4 linked regions of the Drosophila melanogaster genome follow. Changing the gene in region 1 together with any one later gene gives a genetic interaction. Each region holds a gene or a part of one and is shown in the gene's direction. Other genes may lie near its edges.

What was found.
Region 2: of Pten (region 1) and mTor, changing one suppresses a phenotype caused by changing the other (phenotypic suppression), as found in Drosophila melanogaster (3 studies listed by BioGRID).
Region 3: of Pten (region 1) and rictor, changing one suppresses a phenotype caused by changing the other (phenotypic suppression), as found in Drosophila melanogaster (one study listed by BioGRID).
Region 4: of Pten (region 1) and trbl, changing one suppresses a phenotype caused by changing the other (phenotypic suppression), as found in Drosophila melanogaster (one study listed by BioGRID).

Annotation. Positions count from the first base shown.
Region 1 is NT_033779.5:10,255,791-10,262,720, reverse strand, and holds Pten (phosphatase and tensin homolog), read left to right. Parts: upstream 1-1,671; 5' UTR 1,672-1,867; exon of another isoform or gene 1,868-2,136; 5' UTR 2,137-2,467; intron 2,468-2,733; exon of another isoform or gene 2,734-3,030; 5' UTR 3,031-3,145; coding exon 3,146-3,245; intron 3,246-3,307; coding exon 3,308-3,480; intron 3,481-3,547; coding exon 3,548-3,692; intron 3,693-3,805; coding exon 3,806-3,993; intron 3,994-4,064; coding exon 4,065-4,172; intron 4,173-4,323; coding exon 4,324-4,486; intron 4,487-4,547; coding exon 4,548-4,657; intron 4,658-4,727; coding exon 4,728-4,943; intron 4,944-5,004; coding exon 5,005-5,326; intron 5,327-5,598; coding exon of another isoform or gene 5,599-5,603; exon of another isoform or gene 5,604-5,811; intron 5,812-6,214; coding exon 6,215-6,234; coding exon of another isoform or gene 6,235-6,268; 3' UTR 6,269-6,402; downstream 6,403-6,930. Other genes in the region: CG5676 (uncharacterized protein), read left to right, coding at 6,906-6,930.
Region 2 is NT_033779.5:13,002,940-13,007,494, forward strand, and holds the start of mTor (mechanistic target of rapamycin), read left to right. Parts: upstream 1-1,540; 5' UTR 1,541-1,846; coding exon 1,847-2,072; intron 2,073-2,127; coding exon 2,128-2,348; intron 2,349-2,491; coding exon 2,492-3,058; intron 3,059-3,410; coding exon 3,411-4,147; intron 4,148-4,206; coding exon 4,207-4,555. Other genes in the region: Vha68-1 (vacuolar H[+] ATPase 68kD subunit 1), read right to left, coding at 1-381, 645-720. UniProt on the Drosophila melanogaster protein: Promotes cell and tissue growth, maintains tissue homeostatis and controls responses to environmental stress and aging. Regulates growth during animal development by coupling growth factor signaling to nutrient availability. Central regulators of autophagy.
Region 3 is NC_004354.4:19,258,200-19,262,812, reverse strand, and holds the start of rictor (rapamycin-insensitive companion of Tor), read left to right. Parts: upstream 1-1,572; 5' UTR 1,573-1,762; coding exon 1,763-1,826; intron 1,827-2,969; exon of another isoform or gene 2,970-3,068; coding exon of another isoform or gene 3,069-3,096; intron 3,097-3,166; coding exon 3,167-3,377; intron 3,378-3,440; coding exon 3,441-3,986; intron 3,987-4,446; coding exon 4,447-4,600; intron 4,601-4,613. Other genes in the region: Vav guanine nucleotide exchange factor, read right to left, coding at 220-474.
Region 4 is NT_037436.4:20,395,769-20,403,582, reverse strand, and holds trbl (tribbles), read left to right. Parts: upstream 1-1,973; 5' UTR 1,974-2,327; coding exon 2,328-3,157; intron 3,158-6,107; coding exon 6,108-6,732; 3' UTR 6,733-7,295; downstream 7,296-7,814. UniProt on the Drosophila melanogaster protein: Adapter protein that negatively regulates different signaling pathways to coordinate cell differentiation, proliferation, migration and growth.

The DNA of each region.
Region 1 (6,930 bases):
TAAAATCGTAGCATTCGATCGTTTTCGATCGTCCAACAGATTCCCTCATTCCCCCACATCAACAACAACAACAGAATGATAAAAAAAAAAGAAAAAACAAAAAACTGATAGTCGTCGTCTCTTCATTATTTATTTAACGAATACCCATTAACATGACAATTGCAAGCACGTAAAATTTAAGTTATAACGTAGAAAACTAGTAAGAAAAATACGCTAAGACTCGAACAACGTCAAACCAAAATCTAGAAGTACGCAATTTTAATAAAGGAAATGCGGAACAGTTTCTCGTATACATAAAAGCTTTCGCAAAATAATTGGTCTAAAACATTAAAGAATTTTGAGAACTCGGAATTGTGTAGGTGTTCATTTTTACAGAACCTCTTATAACCATCGTAATAAACCCTACGAAATGAAGCAGTCAGCAGTCCGAAACTGGTAAGAAAGCGTTTTCGAAAATCTGCTTTGTTTTCTGAATCTCGAAAACCTAAAAAGCAATAACCGCCAAGTGTTTACAAACAAATCATTGACTTTACGTTTTGGTAAGAAATATTGCATGTGTACTATCCATCGATCTAACTTTTTACCTATTAAGACAAATACTATACAAATCTATAACTTATTGTAGTTGGGTCGAAACGGCAAAAATCTAGCCAATGCTGCAAGCAACTATATTAAGCGCATCGGTTTTAATGTTTATGTTTTATTTCATTTAACTAAATTAACAGGTCATTTGTTGGAGTATCTCTTAACGTCACTTTCAGATTTATTAGATTGCTTAAAGTTCAAAACATAGCTAAGCAATACTTATGATAACGACGATTAGTTAGTTAGCCCAAGGGGCTATTAAATATTTAAACGATGGACTGCAGAAACTTTTTAAACAAATAAAAAGCGAGACAAATAAATGAGAAATTGGTTAACACGGCAAAACACTTGTTTTTATTTCTTCGTCTTCGAGTCCTTTTTGCTTCAATAACATTTACTGATGATTGGCCTATTTTGATTTATTCAAGTTACGAATTAAAGTCAACAGTTGAGAATTAAGTGGTACCAAGAATTCATTTTGCGGAAACCAACTAGCCTTAAGATACGAGTGTAATTTTTAAAGTTTTGAAAATTTTTTAAAATTTTAAATTATTCAGATAGCAGGTTTTGCTTTTGAATAAAGGAACTTTAAATTCCAATCATATTTATGTCAAAATAATCGAATACCCATAAAAAACCTGTTGCACTTTTATCGATTGTAAATAAAAAAAGAGAGGATTACATTAATGGTATTACCCAAACTGATAGTTTTCAATAGCATTTCAATGGCTGGAAAAAAAAATAAATAAAAGGTATTCGTAAATCTTAAAAATGTTTGCGTTTTAAAAAATTGCATACCAAAAATAATATTGGTTTTGCAAGAAATGGAATTTTTAATAGCTGTAGCAATATTAGTTTCGTGGGTAGAACTCGAGTAAAAGATGTGTTGGTAGTCATGTTTTTGGTAGCATGAAGTTATATGTGTGTTGTTTAATAAGATTAAAATAAATGCATAGATAATTACATATTGTTTAAAACCGCAGTGCTAAAAAATAAATGGTTGTATCGATGACCCATCGATAGTTTTTGCATACACAATTTAATCGAGAGGGCACCACGCACGTCGATAGCACTGGATGTACATTTTCTCAAATCTTGTGGTGGTATCGCTCGCCGTAAACACCCTGTGGATCTCACGCTTGATAAATTAATAATACATTTAATAGAGCATGAGCGCTACTGTTTAACTTTTACACATAATTGAAAAGTTTTATTTGAAATTTCGTGGCTTAGAGCAAAACATGTGATAGCTTTTTGAAATGCAGTAGCCAGAACCTGCTCGGTTGGAACATTTAGCTTATTGACTTAAACATACCCATATGCACATACATACATATGTATTAAACAGTGGGCACATATATTCGTGTGGTGCTGATAGTGTAAATGTGTAAAATGTCTGTGGAATTGTAAATATGTTTTTGTTTAAACAAATATGTACATAAATGCACAAAAATCGGTGCATATATGTGCACATGCCCATCATCCATATCTGCATATTTCTGTACATGCATATGTGCTCTAACTACAATACATACCACCATTCGCAAACAGTTTGTCAAAAAAGTGTGTCTACTCGGCGAGATAAAACAAAAAACAGTTGCCAAATCAGTCGCTATGTTAAGTAATTCGAAATTACTGCTCGGTGTTTCTAAAACGGATTTTGATTTTGATTTTCACCCCTCGAAAATCGCCCCCTCAGCCAACGAACCCATTTAATTGCTCGAATTCGTATCGAAATCGCCGTGCGTTGGGCTTCAATAAAAGAACTCTGTTCTGTTAGCCAGTTACAATTAAAACCAGGACCATTTGACAACCAATCTGAATGTATTATGCCAAGCGGAAGATTGTTATATTGTTTATCTTTGATAATATGCCGATACATGTAAGTATGTTTCACGTGTGTGCCGCAAATGCCTGCCTGTGTGTGTGTGTGTGTGTATGTACATATGTGCGTGTGCATGTGCGAGTGTGTGTGAGTGTGTGCATGTTTGTGCTAAGGATATTTGTGGATATATAAACCGAACTGAAGTTAACTCTTTACCTGTTCCTGGGAAAACAAGTAGGGAACTATTCCTATAGAGAGTGCACCTCTGTCTGTATGTGTATGTACGTGCTTAAATATGTATCCAAGCAAGAACTGCAAACAGGAATATATCTTAGCCGAGTAAGAAGTATTAGTTTATATAGAACAACCTAAGTGGATCGGGAGAAAACAAGCCCATTATATTAGTTCCATATATCCCTTTAGAATGCCTTGGCACAGTATAATTAAGCAGTTTCTATTGACCATATTAGAAACTTGTCTGCTGTTAAAGGATTTAGGTTTGAATTCGCAGTAGAAAACTAAGCTGAATTGAGTCAATACTTTTCTAACTTGCTGTGGAAAATAAACAGATTAGTTAGAATCATATGCATATTAATTAATATGCTTTACATTCCTTTCAGAACGTACACTTTGCAATGGAGTAAATAGAAGACAAGCACTGGTTCCCAAATACATTTGAATGGATGCAGCTAATCTAATTTAAATAAAAAAGACAAGTCTTTAAACCTTAAAAATATGGCCAACACTATTTCGTTAATGTCCAACGTGATACGCAATGTAGTGAGTAAAAAACGTATACGATACAAAGAAAAAGGATACGATTTGGATTTAACATGTAAGTTATTGAATCAACCGCAATCATTGGAATATTAAATTAAATTATCTATTTACCCACAGACATTAATGATAACATAATTGCCATGGGCTATCCAGCACCGGATAAACTAGAGGGCCTATTCAGAAACCGTCTGGAAGATGTCTTTAAGCTATTGGAAGAGAATCATGCCCAGCATTACAAAATCTATAACCTATGCTCGGAGCGTAGTTACGACGTTGCTAAATTTCGCGGGGTAATTTTGTTGAACTTTTTCTATTTGTCGGCGTAAAATATGTAAAATATACTATTTCGCATTACAGAGAGTAGCTGTTTATCCGTTCGATGATCATAACCCTCCAACGATTGAGTTAATACAACGATTTTGCAGTGATGTTGATATGTGGCTCAAGGAAGATTCGTCCAATGTTGTAGCCGTGCACTGTAAAGCTGGAAAGGGCAGAACCGGTAGGAAATGTGTTCAACATTTTGTGCGAAAGTTCATAAATATCATGGCACACTATGATCTTGTTTCGATATTTGTAGGGCTAAAAAACTAACCCAGTTTTTTTTCATTTCAGGTACCATGATCTGCGCATATTTAGTGTTCAGTGGAATTAAAAAATCCGCCGACGAGGCATTAGCGTGGTATGATGAGAAGCGTACAAAGGACCGAAAAGGTGTGACAATCCCATCTCAGCGTCGATATGTTCAGTATTTTTCCAAACTAGTTTGTTCAAGTGTTCCATATTCGAAAGTAAGCCTTAACGTGAGTATTTCCAGCAGCAGCGCCACATTCAGCGCCGTACAAAATCTAAATATGCATTTTTTGTATCTCAGGTATGTGAAATACGCTTCTCGGAGTCCAGTTGTGTGCAAAACTTAGGCATGGTAGAATGTTCAATATCTGTATTACACGACTCAGCCACAGAAAATGCAAAGCCAGATGTAAGTATATAAAGTATATAGATACATCATTGATAGACTATAGACAGCATTTTAAAAATGTATATTTCACACGATTTCAGTGCAGTAAAGTGTTCCTTTTCGAATACCTTTCTAACCAGCAGTAACATTCTTCTTTTTTTTATAATTGCAGAGACTGAAAACCTTGCCGATTGATTTTCAAAAATCATTTGTTTTGACCATTAAACCATCAATACCAGTTTCCGGCGATGTAAAATTTGAACTCACAAAAAAATCCCCAGATAAAATCATTTGTCACTTTTGGCTAAATACGTTTTTTGTACGAAACTATTCACGTAAGTATACTTAATATCGCACATGCATTAAATAAACGATTTAATTAAACATTCTCTTTAGCTTGCGAGTCCGATGGAACAGTTAACAAATATATACACACTTTAAGCAAATCAGAAATCGATGATGTACATAAAGACAGTGAACATAAAAGATTTTCAGAAGAATTCAAGGTAGGATATTTCGAAGCATTTTAATAGATGCTGCGAAATTACCAAATAAATGTGCTTGCTCTCTTTTCAGATTTCAATCGTTTTTGAGGCAGAGAATTTTAGCAATGATGTTCAAGCTGAAGCGTCCGAAAAAGAGAGAAACGAAAATGTTTTAAATTTCGAAAGATCAGACTATGACAGTTTGTCTCCAAACTGCTATGCCGAAAAAAAAGTCTTAACTGCGATCGTCAATGATAATACAACGAAAAGTCAAACAATAGAAACGTTGGATCATAAGGATATAGTTGTAAGTGAAAACACGTTTTGCGCCGATCAATATGCTTAATCTATAAATCTAATATTCGTAGACTAAAATTCAATACGACACATCAACCAATTCAAAAAATACTTCGACTGCGTGCAAACGCAAACAGCCTAATAGCAAAACTCTTTTACCAAGCTTGAATGATTCCACAAAAGAGGAAATAAAACGAAATCATATATTTAATCAACCGTCCATTAAGAAAACTGATTTAATCAAATGGCAGAATAGTGAAGTTCATATCACCTCTGACACTCGAAGTATAAACGAAAATAAGAACATCAATTACAATTCATACATCACATGTAAACAATCCTCTCCAAAATTCAACTGTGGTACCGAAGATGGCGAGGAAGATTGGGAATCCGGTGAGTTTGCTGCACACTATACTCTCAATGACCAGATCTCACTAAAAATCTATCCGTTTTAATCGAGTAATACCGAACAATTGTTCTAATTTCACATTTATTTAATACTAAGAGTTTCGATTCAATTGATTTCTGGACCATTATCGGTTTGATTTTGTAATTAATTGTATTGTATGAGTATTCAAATTAAGATTTGTTAAAAGAGATAGCCTTTATCGACATATGCTATCGTCCACACATTTATATTCTTATTGACTTATTGAATTCGCCAGAATAATCACCCGAGACGATTTAAAAGACTTCTGGCTGAACGATCTCTTAATTTTGATGTATAAAACGAAGCCACCAGAACTGGATTTATATGTCCCCAAGACTTTTACGAGTATACTAGCAGAGACAGGCTTACACAGATCCACTTCCTTTCACGGGGAAACGATCGATTACAGCTGCGCTCTGCACATCTGTTTAGAATTTAATGTACATAGGTGAGTGAGTGGGAGCCCATGCCTGCGGCTCGAATGGTCAACTAACCGGCAATCCTTAATCAGTATCCGCATCGATTTTCATCACACATCCCTCACCGCTTCATAAGTATGTGACTCTGGGCACTGCCATTGTCCTTCTACTCAATTCATTTAACAAAACTAGCACCGAACTGTCGAACTTCGACTAATTCGACTATTTCACTGTTGCTGTTGAAAACTAAATATCCTGAAGCAGAATGTGTCTTTTGTGTGTTTCATCATCATCAAAAGTCTTCTGCTTTTAATTCATTCATGCTATTTTGATTTTTATCGTATTCTCGTTGAGTTTTAGTTAATAAATTCATTAAGCTTGTTTGAGCAAAAAAATCTAAACTAATAAATGAATATTTTTCTTTATTTCCAGGTGAATCAACATACCTGTAATCAATGCTTATTACGGACTTATAATTCTTGGTGATTTAGCAAAGTAATTAAAATTGCTAAGTAATTGGCTAATCTATTCGAATTTGTAAATATACTGTATGATATTTATTTAAGTAGTTTTAACAATTATTTTAAATAAACTCATGTACATTTTGTATTGTAGATTTCATTCGAACTTTGGGTTTTTGTCTAAAGTAAGGGGGGAGAAATAATTGACGTTTAGAAAAAAATACTTAAATTTATAGTTTTGATCTCGAAACTAGTTTTCGACACGAAAAGTGCAGCGATTAAATGGATATCTCATATTTTATTGGAATTTAACTAATAGTTTCAAATGAGGCAATAGCTAAGATAAATAAATAATAAGAGGTTCTTGAAATTTGCCAATTGTTGTGCAAAGCATACAGGATTCACAAAGGTAATTATCAGATTAATAATAAATATTCAAAGTATGATTATTCCAGTTTCTACGTTAAGTGCTACCAGTTATTTTTCTTACTCTTTTTCCCATAATTCCCCTAACATATGTTCCACTTCCGAGTTCCAATAAACCCAACACAAAAATGTTGTCCAAATTGACGCTATCTTGACGGGCATATATTATTGTGTTAAATTGACGTAAACTGGGCGGTCAGAATTTCGCATCTTAACGTCGACATCTAATTTTAAAAATGACTAATTATTCGGAAATTTTTA
Region 2 (4,555 bases), 2.7 Mb from region 1:
CCACTCCATACAGATCTCCTCCGGTGATGTGGGATCCCACCCGCACATTCAGCGGATTAAATTCCCACATCTCCGAGCGCGACAAAGCAGTTGTGTTGACACCTTTGGGTATATAGATGGAGTTGGTCATGACACCAATGTCCCGCAAAGGACGTTGGATGCCGTCGAAGATGCTGCCCATAATGCCGGGTCCAAGTTCCACGGAAAGAGGTTTGCCGGTACGCAGCACCGGATCGCCGACAGTCACGCCAGAGGTCTCCTCGTACACCTGGATGGTGGCCATGTCGCCCTCCAGACGGATGATCTCGCCCACCAGCTCGTAGTAGCCGACGCGGACCAACTCGTACATAGCTGATCCAGACATGGCCTCAGCGGTGACCACTGAAGTGGATTTAAAGTTGTTGAAGGAGGAAAAGCAGGAGAAATATGATTAGCAAGGAGTGGAGAGAGCAGCATAATGAGGAAGATTATGCGGAACAGGAGGAGGGGGAAGAAAGCATACAGAAATATGAAAAGGAGAAGGATAATAAGGAAGGATAAAAAGGAAGATGTGGAGGAGTATAATTAAGAACAGAAGAAAGGCAGGATTAAGGATTACAGAACTTGGGGGTCAGCGCATGAAGGACGCTGGTGACGTCGCTTACCTGGTCCGGATACCGCGTAGACACGGCCATATTCCGACTCGCGCTCCTCGTCTTTGAATTTCCTCAAGTTGGACATGGTCGCGGTTGCTGCTCTTCTTCTTCTGCTTCGGTAACGGTCAAATCGTTCGTTGGCTGTGGGAAAAAGTAACCGTTTTTCTTATAAACAAAAACACGCATTTTCCATGCCCCCGAATGAGAGAGCGTTTTCCGCGAGGAAACGCATAGGTGGCGCTGATGTGCAGCAGCAGCCCCCAGTGAAAAGCTTCACACCCCCGCAGCACAGCATCGATTTTCCAATACAATTTTCACACATGCCACCAACGGCAAGGTGAATTTTCCACCTTTTACCCATCACAAAAGCAATTTTCACACTTTCTTTTCATTCAACACCTTGTGGTCAGTGGTTTTGTGGCGTAAAAACTGCTTTTTCAGCTGCTCTAAAATTAAATAAGCTCACATTTGTTTCAACAGCTCTTATGAAAATTCTCTTGCTTTTTTGATTTCACTCTAGTATTGATCTATCGGTTATCGTCGAGGGCTCCAGGTTCTCTATAGAGATGGGCTCACATCAAACTCACGCACGTCACGATACATTAATAGTCGGATTCCACTAGCACATTCCGCAGTTAAATCTTGAAATACTTGTTGGTAATTATTAAAAATTTAACATAAGCTTGCATTTTTGTGCTATTTTCCAAATTCTTCAATGCAACTTGTTCACTCCAGTAATATAAATGTTTTGTACCACAACTTTAAGCCAATTTCTTTTTAATTGCTTATAATAAAGAACAAATTTATTAATTACTTTATTATTTTTATTTAATATGTTCTCTAACATTTTAAATGCTTATAAGTCGCCGCCAAGTACAGAAGTATCAGCAAGAAAATATCGATTGTAAATTGATCGAATTCTGTTTTACATCACTAATCGGCAGCGGCTGCAATAAATTTCCGTAAAAACCGAAGTAATCCGCAATTAAAGAAAGCAAAGGACCTGCATCCGTGTGAGATCGTTCGGCACCGGTGCCGGCACATGAAATCCTATCGAGTGACCAGTGGAACAGTGCGTACAGCGCCCCGGGGCAACTGAAAAGATAACCTCCAAAGTCCGTAGACAGCAGGCAGATGCACCTGCTCCACCCTTTCCCCTCCCAAATGCAAGTGAAAATCGCGTTTAAATAGTGAATAAACCCTGCCCAGCCATGTCGACGACGTCGGTGGTGCAGCAGTTCGTCAACGGGCTTAAGTCCCGCAACCGGAATGTACAGAACAAGGCAACCCAGGATCTGCTCTTCTATGTGAAGACCGAGCTACGCGAAATGTCCCAGGAGGAGCTGGCCCAATTTTTCGACGAGTTCGACCATCACATTTTCACGATGGTGAATGCGACAGATATCAACGAGAAAAAAGGCGGTGCCCTGGCCATGAGTGAGTTCCTGGCTCCCCGGCAGTGCTTGAGAGGATTTAACGTCTTCCCTTTCAGAGTGCCTGATTAACTGCGAGGGCAGTCTTACTGCCAGGAAGGGCATTTCGCCCTATCTCAACCGCCTGCGCGATCTTCTGCTAATCAACGATGTGTCCGTCATGGAGATTGCCGCCCGCTCCCTGGTCAAATTGGCCAACATGCCCACCTCCAAGGGCGCCGATTCCTTCGACTTTGATATTAAGAAGGCTTTTGAGGTGCTCAGAGGCGAGAGACAAGAGGTGAATTATAAGGGAAACCTACAAATTAAGCTTTTAAGTCTGATTTTGAGATGAAGATGGAAAAACTTTATAATGAAAATGAAAATAGTAGTTGTAAGCATGGCTAGAGTTATCCAAATTCATTTATATATTATTTTTTTCAGTACCGCCGCCATTCAGCCGTCTTTATCCTCCGTGAGCTGGCTATCGCCTTGCCCACATACTTCTACCAGCACATCCTGACCTTCTTCGAGGTTATCTTTAACGCCATCTTCGATCCCAAACCTGCTATACGAGAGTCAGCTGGCGAGGCTTTGAGGGCGGCTTTGATTGTCACCGCTCAGCGAGAGAGCACCAAGCAGTCCAGTGAACCACAGTGGTACAGAATCTGCTATGACGAGGCGAATGGAAGCTTCAATGCAGACTTGGGCTCTAGCAAGGATCAGAAAGGCGTGACCCGAGACGATCGCATTCACGGTGGCCTCGTCGTCTTCAACGAGCTCTTTCGCTGTGCCAATGCCACCTGGGAGCGGCGCTACACGTCTCTGAAGACGCTGTTCCCCAAGACCCAACACAATAAGTTCCTGGAGGCCAGCAGTTCGTCGAGTATGGGTTCCCAGCTGAATACTCTAGTGCCGCGGCTAAAGGTGCCCTTCATTGACAAGCTCGGCAGCACCCAAACGCATTTGGGTGAGGGAGAGCATCACAAAGGAGTTGCCAAGTTCGCGAGCGTGAGTCTAACGATCAAATACCTCCACACACGAATGTATTTGTCATTTTCATTTATTTACCTTTTGGTTTACGTAGTATGTACTTTACATGTATCTAAAAACCAAGCGATGCCTGACGGGAGGAAATCAGCTGACCTAATTATAGTTTAAAAATTGTGTAAAATGTAGCAGTAGAGTGTGATTCGTTACCAGTAGTAATTGTGGGGCGGCAATCATTTAGACAAGCATGTTTGTATTAAAATAGTATATTTTCCATTTGTTCATTACAAAAAAGATATTTTAATGTTTGTTAATTTAAAATACAAACTATTTAGTTATGTTTAAGCAAGTAACTAATAATATCGACATCCAGCAGCACAACGTACTGGAGTCCGCATATGCTCAGGAGATCCTTCAGGAGCACTACACCTCCATTTGCGACAATGTTTTGGAGCAGCGAACTTCGAAGTCTCCGTATGTACAGCAGGCACTCCTTCAAATACTTCCTCGATTGGCTGCCTTTAACCGCGCGGTGTTTGTGGAAAAATACCTGCAGACATGCGTGTCGCATTTAATGCAGATCCTGCGAGGCAAGGAGAAGGATCGCACGGTGGCGTACATAACCATTGGTTACATGGCTGTAGCGGTGCAGAGTGCGATCGAAGTTCATTTATCCAGTATAATGACTAGCGTGAAGGTCGCCTTGCCGTCAAAGGATTTGACCAGCAAACGAAAGGTACCAGTGGATCCTGCGGTCTTTGCCTGCATAACGCTTCTTGCTCATGCCGTTAAGTCGGAGATCGCCGACGATGTTAAGGATATCCTTGAGCAGATGTTCTACACGGGTCTCTCGCCAGCTCTGACTGTTTGCCTGAGGGAACTCTCCGAGAATGTGCCGCAGCTTAAGTCGGCCATTACAGAAGGATTGATCGGAATCCTATCCCAGGTGCTGATGAACAAGGCGGCAATTTTACCATACACTGCTTTGCCAACGATCGCCATCGATGGCTCGCTAATGCAGAATGGTGACGGAGCAACCACAGTGCTGGCACTCAAAACGCTGGGTACCTTCAACTTTGAGGAGCAAAACATGCTGGACTTTGTGCAACGGTAATTTAATTTAATTTACTATATTTTAGTTATATTACAAGGTTTGATTTCTTTTTCAGATGTGCTGACTACTTCATCGTTCACGAGCAGCAGGAGATTCGTCTGGAGGCAGTGCAAACATGCACACGACTCCTTAAACTGGCAGTGCAATCCTCTGAAAGTATGGAGAACTCCAAGACCCTCAGCGACACCGTTTCCCACGTGATTGAGCGCCTGCTTATGGTAGCCATTACTGATATGGACTGTAATGTGCGAATACGAATTCTACGTTCGCTGGACGAGACCTTTGATGGGAAGCTTGCTCAGCCAGAGTCTCTAAATTCGCTATTTATTACGCTGCACGATGAAATCTTTGAGATCCGGGAGCTGGCAATGGTTACCATTGGAAGATTGTCGTCCATAAACCCG
Region 3 (4,613 bases), on another chromosome or scaffold:
TCGTGCATAAATTTGGCATATTCTATTTCTTTATGAATTTATGATGTTTTGGCCAATTATTGTCACTAATTGTAAGTGATGTTTGTTTTAATGATTTAAATTATTTTTACAGATATACTTCCCCCTATTTCTCTCAGTGTTGCTTGTTTACAAGGTTTAGAGTGTGCCACCCATTCACAATTTGCCAGCAAAGTCACTTGCTTCTCGCATTTCACTCACCTGTGCCATTTGCGGCTTGCGATTGAACTCGCGCGGATCCAAGCTGCTGGGGTCCAGGTGGATGACCAGGTTGCAGAGCAGCACGCCGTCGCGCAGCGTCATCGCCAGGATGCGGATCTCGGCGTCCGGCTGGGCGGCCTTGTGGTCGGGCGGAATGACCTTGCACCTGGTCAGCCAGGCGACGCACTCGCGCCACAGATCCCCGTTCACGCCGGCCACGCCCCCAAAACTGTTGCTGCTACTGCTGCTGGCCATCTCGCAGTGGTTGGGTTGGGTATTACTATATGGATTGGGATTTGGTTTTCGTTTCGGATTTGGAGGAGGGGTTGCGGGTGGGGCGCTGGCGTTGGCGGTGATGGTGTGAAGTGGGGCGCGGGCCCAACTGGCAAGTGTTGGAGGGGGGAGGAGGAGGGTGGGTGGGTGCTACTCGCGTCGCGTTAATGGACACAATTGAGACTCATCAGTTGGCCGTTGCGATTGGATTGGTGAACCCGAGCACAGATACACAGAGCAAAAACGGAAGGCAATGAAGAGCACAACACTAGCCAACACCACACACAACAAAAACAACGATTTCGGGACAATTCGAGCGTAGTGGGGTGTATCGCGTTCGCGAAGGGCTCACCCTGTGCACCGGATACGCGCGAACAGTGCTTGCGGCTGCCGAGTTGCTCAGAAAGTGCTCGCCACTGTGGTTTTAAAACTAATTTACTTTATTGCAAAATATTGCGTTTATCGAAGAGGAAGAGCATACTCGACTTCGATAACAGTCTGGGCGGCCGTGTAACCGCTTGCGGCTCCTTCGAAAATACCAACTGCATGTGTGGTATTTACGATATGTTAATAGCATTGTTACTTTGTGACGAAAATTAATTGTGCACCTCGGTATGCTTTAATATAACAAGTTGATGTAAATTAGTAAGTAGAGTAAATACACATGACATATATTGACTCCAAAAAAAAAGTCACCAAATAATCTTGCAGAAGAATATTAAGTAAATTTTCCCTTACAGTATTTGTTTTAATTTCGTAATTTATAATCATATAAAATAGTTCTACGATAAGGAGAATTCCTATCTGGGGGTAATTCAGCTGTCCTCGAATTTCTCAGGTAATATTTTGAATATTTCCGTTCAATTTTTATAATTAGTGCACAAGAAATTCATTATATTACAGACACTAGCCTTTCAGAGGAAGTAAGCAAGCAAAATTGTATGTCAAATGTAAATGTAAGATGTAAGTGTAAAATGAAATGTTTTTCATTGAAAGTCGCGTAAATATTCCAAATTCTCGTGCCCGCGGTGGCGCTTCGTAGTTGGTTTTTTCTCCTGCGCCGACGACGGTCACTTTAAAGCGGCGAGCAATAAAAAAAATGTAAATTGTGCAGCAAGTGAAATTGAAAAGCAATATATTTAAGTGTGATCTGTGTGTTGTGGTGTGTGGGTGTGTGTTCGACATACAGCTAATAGGCGAGCGGGCGACGGCGCCGCACCCGCCTCGCCACGCCCCCATCGGCGAATCGAAAAAGAGGCGAAGCAACGCGATGGCCTCCCAACATTCCAGTTGGCGTTTTGGCAAGCGGAGCAAATTACAATTACGCATCAAAGGTAATGTAACGAATGTGCTAATTGACATCAAACACGGCGACGGTGGCATCGGCATAATGGCGCAATCACTCCGTTCGACGTTTTGTCTCACATGGCTCGCCCCACCGACCCCCGCCATTCCATTCAGTTTGCATTATTTTGCATTACGGCGAGGCATAAGCATTACAGCAGCAGCTGTTGTTGTTGTTGTTGTTGTTGTGGATCTTGAGCCGACCTCATCCCCAACCCCACCTACCCCTCCAGCAGCCTTCTGTTTATTGGACTTGGCCAATAATTGGTAGCAAAGGGTTCTTTTTTTTGTTGACATTGATGGCAACTAGCAACAACAATAATATGTTGTTGAGGGGGGCGGGAATGAGCACACTGGCAGCATTGCCCATAACGGTAACGATGTAGCAGCGATGCAACAGTGATGTACGCATGTATCGACAGCATGGCATTCTGATCAACATTTCTCCTGATCTCCTCAGTGTTTCCTCCGTTATTTATACATTTGTTGTTGTTCTCGTTTCTATTTTCTATTTAGTTTTTATTTTTATTTATGTATTTTTTGGTTTTATTTTGGTTACTTTTGTTGTTGTTGCTGTTGCCATTTGACCAAATTCTTCGACTACATGTTGGCCGATTATTTATAGAACGGTCGCCACAGCATAGAGAGAGCCCCCAAAAACGATGACGCAGCACAAGCAACAACATAGACATTCACTAAACATCGACCATAACAATAACAGCGATAGCAACAGCAGAAACAACAACAATAACAACAGCCACTACTAGAACTACAAAAACAATAACATACGAAATGCTCAGCTTGGTTTCTTCCATTCATCGTGTCCTTCACTCTTTCGTTCTTCTTCGCTCGTCATGCTCTCTCCTTTCTCTCTCTCTCTCTCTCTGTCGCTCTCCCCCTTTTCCAACCAAATCCATCATGCAAGTACAGTTAGCTGTAACGACGACAACTGCAACAACAACGAAACTGTTATGACGCTGTGTTGTTGTCATTTCACGTGCACAGCCTGCGTCAGCGTCGGCAGAGACAGAGGCAGCGGCTGAGCTGATTAGCTTTCCACGATCCACGATCAATTTCACTTTGATGGCTTTCTAATGCAAGTCGCTGTGTGCATGCATGTGTGCACCTCCTCTTGACCGTAAAAACCCCATGTACTATGATGATTTGAACATGTGCATATCCGAAAAAGCTATTACTTGCAAATAATATTTATGTAATATTCAAGTACATCGATGTGGCCATATTATTCATTCATAAAAGGTTGTTTTAATTAGTAATTAGTGTGTACGGATCTGATAAGAAAAGCAATGAAACTTTTCCTCCATTACAGTTTCGCAGGATCCGGAGGACTTCTACCGCCTGGATCCACAGCGATCGGCCGCCGAAAATGCATTCGAAATATACTCGATGCTCTGTTTGGAGGAGACGCGGGACACGAAGCGCCTGTTTCTGCTCAACGCGCTGGCCTCGCTCTGTTTGGGGGCCCGAAAGGGCTCCCACCACAGCAATATACGCTTCACCACCGAGGAGCTGCTCTACTGGTAAGATGCCCGTTGGGGAAACCATTGTTCTTAACATGGCTAATTGATCGCCCTTAATTGCAGCCTTAGTGCCTCACTGGTGCACACCTTCACCCAAGTGCGAGCGGCGGCACTGCGAACGATCCGGTATGCCATTAGCACGCCCAATGACATCAAGACGTTCAATGCACTGCAGCTGCAGCACCTGCTCTGCCGCTCCATCGATCTAATGCTGAAGAACGACGACGAGCGCGTCCAGGCACTGAAGCTGGTCCGCAAGATGCTGGCCATCGCGCCGGAGGACATCAGTCCGGCGGTGGTGCGCTGCCTGGTCTCGCTGGCGGATAGCGGCATCGAGGAGAACGACAATCTGTTGCGTGCCTGCCTGGCCACCCTGGCAGAGTTCGCTGTGCTCAATCCGGCGCTGCTGATCGTCTGCGGCGGCGTCACCTCCATAACCCGCAATGTGCTAGAGTGCCACAATCCCCGCATCGCTGAGAGCCTGTGCGGCGTGCTTCTGTACCTGCTCGAGTGGCCGCAAACGAGGAACATCTGCGGTGTGCGGCTGGACTGCCTGGCAGCTCCTTATTGCGATTTCACCTACCGGCAGAGTATCGTCGATAAGAACAAGTGAGTGCCCTAGTGAAGATCCCACCAATCCCTCCTTGAATACTGCAGCTTGGCTGCAGAATACTACAAATGGGTTACCCAAAACAAAAAGCAGTTTATCAAGCCAGATGTAAGACGGATCCACTTCACTCATTAATTCGCCGAAAGTAATTTAATGTAGAGTAATTATATCTGCTGTTGAATTGTAACCAAATAATCGATGAACATCACGCCGTCTTTTGAGATTATCAAACAGCGGATGCAAACATGAAATTCTAAAATAGATAACTAAAGGCAGCACGGCCATTGACCTCGTTTCATGCTCTAAATGAGTAGTTAAATCGGGCGAAACACTTTTGGAAAATCGAACAAGACTATCCCACAAACATCTACTGAAGTTTTTTCACAAGATGTACTACTACAAGTTGTAGATAAGCGCTATCAGTTACATCATTCTTTTATAAATAAAACTATCTTTCAGGGATGCGCGCGAACTTCGCTACACCAGCTGTCGGCTGGCACTGCTGTCTGTGCTGCGCAGCTGGACGGGCACCCTCGAATTCTGTGATCCTAGCAAACCCTCAGGCCTGAAAGCAATAGTCGACGCTCTGTATTTGAACCAGATCGAAGTCAGAGTGAGTACATTCC
Region 4 (7,814 bases), on another chromosome or scaffold:
GATCAGGCCTATTTAATCGTATAAGTGAGTGCAGTGACCAGAGTGAAACATTAATTGCTTGCAAATAAGTATGTCGTATGCAAATAAAATATTTTTCAAATTCAATTTGATGTCGCCACCCCTATAATTTCCCCCCTTTTCGGTTGCATTGGTGTCACGGTACCAGTATAATTCTCGTTTCAATCTTCCTTTCGAGAAACAGATGCAAGACTTTGGAAAAGGGACGGGCGAAAAGAGAGGTTTGTTGGTGTTATTTGTTCTGTTCGCGATTTTCGCATTCGTATTTATCGGCTACTTCGTGGGAAGAAGAAGCAAAGACGGACGTTGCGTTTCAAAAAGAGCGTTACAATATGAAGAATTCAATCGAAGAGATCGGTGAAAACCAATGGACGAAATACAAGCCTGCATAAACAGTTGCGGTGAAAATATTAGTATTCAAAATCCCAGTATCCCAGAATGAAAAAATTCAAAACTAAATGAGTTATATCTAACCTACAATTGTACCAATTCTATCAACGATTTTAAAAATACATTTTTCAGGTCTTTTAGTCCAACAATTCGGTCTTAAAAATTATATTTAAAGACCCTCATTTCCAATTACTAAAGATTCGATTGCGATAGTTCCTATTATTGTGACCGCGAATGTGCTCCTGTGTATCCTCAGACGGATGTCTTTAGTGGGAAATCACCTTGCGCCAGCTGCAACTGCAACTGCATCGCATGTACAGCCCTGCACCGATGCACTATATCTGCCATATAGTGCTTAGGGGTGGAATAGTGCAGCTGACATATGTATGTAGGAATCTACCTGCGACATAATGCCGCTCGGTGGTTCTTACCTGCTCCTTGAGGATCTCGGATAACTGCCTTCTGTTGCTGTCGTAATTCCTGCGTAGCCCAGTGATCCTCGTTTCGGACAGCTGCAAAAATCATGAAATCGTCTGCACCGCGAGGTAAACAGCAAGGTAAATCCACATACACACACACAAATGAGTAATGATCTCGCACAGGAAAAAATTCAATGATCGATTTGGATCCAAGAGATTGAAGCGTTATTTGAAGATTCGAGTTTGGGAGCATTTATTTAAATTCTAGGATTTACTAGAACTATGTTTGTACATCTGAAATGTCCATCTGTGGTCATATACTTAGGGATATAAGAGATCTTAATCTGGAGTATTAAGAAGACAAATTTCTTAATTTTAAATTTGTATGTATATTAGGATATTAAAATGTTTTATGTTTTATGTTTTTTTATAATAATAGTAGTTTGCAAAGCAACTACTCAAAAACTGCACATCATCATTGAATTTGGTTTAAAAATTTCGTAACTATGGGAAAACAAATAATTTCAACCAAACTTGTAAAATATTACCTTATCAGAGCAGGAGAAAACCTTAAGTATCCAAGCCAAGAAACCACAAAAGATATTTTCGAGTTATAGAGATGGTTATACGGGTGTTTCTGCCTTCGATATCCGTACCCGTACTCAATAAAACAAAATCGAAGTTCAAGCTGACTGTACTTTCATTAATTTGATCTTAAAACTGTGGATTTTATCAGTTTACTAACCCCCTCTAATTAACTTATCGCCACGATTTATTGGTGCGCAGATTACTACGTAAAATCGTAGAAGAAAAGTTTAAGGGTTGCTGTGGGTATAGTGTTCATACAGCTACGTATTTCGAATTCAGTTGGAATCGGAATTTCAGCGTTCAGCGCAATTTTTTCAAAAATAACGATGCTCTTGTTCTTTCTCTCTCTCCCAACCATTTGGATTTCAAAAAATAACGACGCTCTCTGGTCTCCCACTTCTCTTTCCATTCCGACCGCATTGAGCTAAATTCCTGCAACGGGTGTGAGCGAGGCAGAGAAGGATCGGTGCAGTGAGAGCGAGCAAGAGGGTGCGAAAGAGAGCCGTTGTATTTCGCCGTTCTCTTCGCTTCGTGCTTCTTCCGACCGCGTGGATGGTCACATTTGAAATTCAAACTGCGGAGAAGACGGTCGCGTTCGTTTCGTTTCGCGAGTTCAGTGAGCAGCGTCCGATTTGTTTTAAAATCGCCGCATTTCGTCAGTACCCGCATTGCAAATGGCCAAACTACCGAAGTAGTAGTAGCCCTGAGTTTAAACGAGAGTTTAAATCGAATTTAATCGGAGACTAAACGGCGCGTCGCTAAATGTCAAAACAATTAACAGCCAAGTACAGCCAGGCTAAAGCGGAGTAACAAAATTAGTAAGAAGAAGCATTAGCAGAGAATAAGACGAAGAAAACGTAGCGAGAGCAAGAACTGTGATAAAGTTAAGTGAAGTGGTAAACACAAGCAAGCATGGATAACAGTAGCGGTCAAAACAGCAGAACGGCTTCGTCAGCGTCCACAAGCAAAATAGTCAACTATTCGTCACCAGTCTCGCCAGGAGTCGCAGCCGCCACCTCCTCATCCTCATCATCCAGCAGCAGCGGCATGAGTAGCAGCCAGGAGGACACCGTACTGGGATTATTTACGCCCAAAAAGGAGTTCCCCAATGCCAAGATGCTGCAGACCATCAGGGAGAAGCTAATGACGCCCGGCGGAGCCTGTGACCTTCTGGCCCTGGGCATCGCAGCGGAACCCACAGACCAGCAGCCCGTCAAGCTCATCCAACAGCGTTATCTGATCAGCGCACAGCCTAGTCACATATCGGCCGCCGTGGCTGCCAAGACTCCCGCCTCGTATCGCCACTTGGTCGATCTAACCGCCTCCAATCTGCGCTGCGTGGACATCTTCACCGGGGAGCAGTTCCTCTGCCGTATTGTAAACGAACCGTTGCATAAGGTGCAACGAGCCTACTTTCAGCTGCAGCAGCACGACGAGGAGCTACGCCGGAGCACCATCTATGGCCATCCACTGATCCGACCCGTGCACGATATCATACCGCTTACCAAGGATCGCACCTACATCCTCATTGCGCCCGTGCCCCAGGAGAGGGACTCCACGGGTGGGGTGACCGGGGTGTACGAGAACCTGCACACCTACATCCGCCACGCGAAGCGACTGTGCGAGACGGAGGCGAGGGCCATATTCCACCAGATCTGTCAGACTGTTCAGGTGTGCCACCGCAACGGGATTATCCTCAGGGACCTCAAGCTCAAGCGGTTCTACTTCATCGACGAGGCCAGGTGAGTTGCGTGTCCAGGTGACACCTTCGAAAAACCCATATACACCAATATACGCCACATATGCCTGACTTATACCAACTCAATTGCATATGGCTGGCTAGTCGGTTTATTTTGCAATTCGATGGAAACTCGTTATGAGCGAGAGATCTTGTTTGTGGTCGTGTGTTGGTGGTGCCACAATTGTTGCTCTTGTTATTGGCCCATGTTGTTGTAGTTGCTGCTGCTGCTGCTGTTGTTGCTTTTGTTTTTGTTGCTGGCGCCGTCGTTGTGGGTAACATTGAACATTTAACAAGTGTTGCAATCGAATCACCAATAGGCCAACAACAACAATTATACTGACAAACCGAATGAACGCAAGGCGTACGTATGTACAGCACAGGGTATAATGGTAGTTTCAAACTAATTTTATAAGTAAAAATATATTCCTACTATGCGAAGCATTGCAAAAATGAATGGGAATAAGATCAAAAATGTTAAATAATTTCAAAGATAAGTTTTTGAAATACACCTATTATTAAACTATTAATTAACATGGTGTATTAGCTTTGTAGCTAAAGAATTATTATTTATGTAATATCATTGAATTGCCATTCAGTGAGCAAGCATATGCCTTATTTTGCAGACCCCGACTGTATCTCTGTGTACATACTCGTACACAAGGGCCCAATGTGCCACACTGATGGCCAAAATGTTGGCTCACTCGTTTTTTCATTACACATTTCGGAAGCTAGAAATTGCCACATTTCAAGAATTGTTCAACATAGCATTTGCAATATGGTTTTGGGGTGGGGATCTGTGGGCCACGTACTCGGCGTTCGCTTGATTTGTCGATTTCCCGTGTGTGAGTTTACAGTGGATGATGAAATATTGACCCCACCTTCATCGAAAATGTATTTTCGCATATGTTAATTAACACAACTGTATCGAAAACGCGCTGTCTCCCGTTCTTATTATCTTCGAAATTGTACTGACATCAGCATGGAACGACTTGAACATTTGGTCGATTTCGTATGACTCTGCAATTAGCGCAATATCTGCTGATTTTTTCGTCATTTCGTCGTTCTGTGCCAAGTGCAAAACGGCGGAAGGAAGAAACCAACCCATAGATCTCTATCTATACTATACTTCTCTCACCTTGGCGAGAAATAAACAACAAGTGTTCAATACGACTCAAATGCGCTGCGATTACTGGCGCTCACTTCCATTCCCATTTCCATTCGAATAATACATCGCTATATAGATAAGTGCTCGCTGGGTGTACATACATACTATATGGGCTATGGGCGTGGCCATATCCATATCTACATATGTCCAACGGGGCGGCCACACACACGCACAACCAAATAACGAGCCGAATTTTTAAGGTCACAGTGCGGTGAATGTCCCTGACTCTGATCTTCTGTATTTGAACGCATTTATGTACATGCATATATGCCAGTGCCTCCCATATACAAATGCGTATGCTTATGCATGTAAAAATCTCTGGTTCATACTTTTATTTTGTCTACTCTTTTGCCGTACGTAAATACTTCCAAGGTGTTTGAGCATTTATGCGGCGCCGGTTTTCCGTATTTCGTTTCGATTCCGATTTTATTTTAACCTCTGTCGCGGGTTAATGTGTGCCAAACGTATAGAGCGAGAGAGAGAGAGAGAGGGAAAGAAGAGATCCACAAGACGCTCTTCAAAGCTCGGTTATGTCGCGCATCGAGGTCAGCAGCTGTAACTATTCTCCTCATCACATCTCCACCTGCCTTCCGTGCACTCAAAAATATAAATATTGGTTCACATAAAACCTTGATCTTAAAAGTATAATTATATATGCTTGCCTTGATCTTAAATATAAGTTTATAATGTTTCTGTATCGAATGGGGTAACTAGACGATAGAGGACACAAAAATCAAATGAAACCCGAAAACAAATGTATAGAAACATGCTCTTAATTAAGAACCGTGTTCTTTGAATATATTATTTAAATGCGCTATCTCTTTTCCCTCTTATTGATTGCCCACCTGTTGCTATCAAGTTGAAGGTAATTTGTTTCTTTCAGTGTACACTGTGATTTGTGCCGAGGAGAGGCGCGTTTTCAAAGCTTGTTTTTGTTCAGGGTCAGCTCGAGGTTTTTTTGGCCTGCTTTGTGTTTGGCTCTTTGGATGTTTGGATACCAGACCGCGGCGACCGTGTGTTTGTATATCGCTCCGTTCGCTATCGGCGGAATACCCAATGTTGGTAGTGGTGCTCGGGTCCCAGCAGAAGCGCCGTTGCAGCAACAAGTTGCGATACGTCACTCCACCTCACCTTACTACTCACGCAGCTCACACAGCGGACTCTCTTTGGATCTATGCGCTGTGCTCGCTGGCGTTTTCGTTACTTTTTTGCTTTTTGCATTCGAATGTGGGCCAATGTCAATGGAGTGGAGTGGCCCAATGGAGGGGGAGTGGAGTGGAGTGCAGGGGCGGAGGCGGCGGCGGCGGCGGCACTCGCTCATGGGTGTCGGGGGTCGCAAGCTGCGCTTTCGTCACCAATCCAAGTCAACTCAGCTCAGCTCACAATGTGCTCTCTCGGCCAATTTGCCTTTTGACTTGTCAATACGCCAACGCCAAAGACAACTACAACTGAAACTGAAGCTCCGTGGCCGATCGATTCAAGTCTCTTCGATATTGCGCTAGCTAATGGCCCCACAAAATCGGGGGTTATGCAAGTCCCAGGGATTGCACATGATGTAGAGCTCGACGATGGGTCTGATGAACGGGTACAGTTGCGATCAGAATAGTGGCAGTGCCAACTCAAGTTGCAGTCATATCTACTCTTCTTTGGCAACAATAGTTCTCAACATATTAATAGAAACGGGTAAAAAAAAGACTGTTAGTTTTATTTCTAAGAAGCATAAACATATATTTTGTACCCTATTTTGGCGGATTATTTATTCGATTTTGTCATTTGCTAATTACAGAACGAAACTGCAGTATGAATCACTGGAAGGCTCAATGATCCTCGACGGCGAGGACGATACTCTGAGCGACAAGATCGGTTGCCCACTGTACACCGCTCCAGAACTGCTGTGCCCCCAGCAAACGTACAAGGGCAAACCGGCGGACATGTGGTCGCTGGGCGTGATCCTGTACACCATGTTGGTGGGTCAGTACCCGTTCTACGAGAAGGCCAACTGCAACCTCATCACCGTCATACGCCACGGGAATGTCCAGATACCCCTGACGCTGTCTAAGTCGGTGCGATGGCTGTTGCTTTCGCTGCTGCGGAAGGATTACACGGAACGAATGACCGCCAGCCACATCTTCCTTACCCCGTGGCTGCGAGAGCAGCGCCCCTTCCACATGTACCTGCCAGTCGACGTGGAGGTGGCCGAGGACTGGAGCGATGCGGAGGAGGACGAAGGCACTGCCGCCGATGCGATGGATGATGACGAGGAAGGACTCTGTCCCTTGGGTGACAAGCACGAGTACGAGGACATTGGCGTGGAGCCATTGGACTACACGCGCTCCACGCTCCAAATGGCTCAGAATGCCAATGGGCTGTCCACGGAACCCGAACCCGATACGGATGTGGACATGGGCTGATTGGAGCTCGTGGAGTCACCCACGGGTTGCATTCTGGGACACGCTGGCGCGTTGGCTGCATCCGGCTGAATGCCGACTGATTAGCCGCCGGGACTGGGCATATCGGATGATATGACACTGTGGACATCCTGGCCTTCCGGGTCGCGCCGACTCCGACTGCGTTCCACGTCGTCTTCCTGCAGGTGGTACTGCCAACAAAGACTTAAAGCTTAGACACACAAGAACTCACTGCCTTCCAATCGCGCTGCAGCCCCGATTCGATTCGTTCAAGAATCACGCCGCTCCGCAGCCTCCTCTCTGCAACCGATTCTTCCTAAAACCTACCTATGTACAATACATTTAACATTTTAATTTTTTTGCAAACTGTTGATCTTATCAAAGGACAGTCGCCCTGATTTGCTTTTGGGCTTTAAAACACATTAGTTTCCATGTTAAAAAATGCAACGAATGCAAATTGTTATTTATTATTTAATACTTCTGTATTACGCTTTGTGTACTCTTAAAATCTTGTAAGTGAAAATTGCAAAAAAGAACATAATACATTGAAATTTGATCTCACCAAGAATAATTCGAATTTGTTTCTTTAGGGCTCTGGGGTAAAAAACGCTGTTTTTATTTATTGACACAAGATTGTAAATATTTATAAATGTGTAATTAGTCAACCAGACTATGAGCTTAACATGAAGATTCTAGATTCTCAAGAAGCGGAAGGCTACAAAAGATGAAAACAATGAGTCAGGGGAAAATACGATTTTTTGGTTCTAGATGCGTCATATTGTGTACTAGTAAAATTCAACATTTGATTAAGATCAGATAATGTTTGGTCAAAAATATGAAAACAAAACTGTCCAATCTATTTTCTTCATGAAGGAGATTAATGAATAGTTCACGTCACAAAATCGAGAATTCTCTCGAGTGTCGAAAGTCAACAAATTAGTTATTGTTGTTGCTGAGATTCCCATTACCGAGCAGCAGATTCCCAACCTGATAATGCAACCCAGTGACTGGAAGTTATCAGGTGGGCGAACGTGACTTTGGCTACGGAAATATTTGCGACTTTGCTCCACAATAGCAGTAAACTA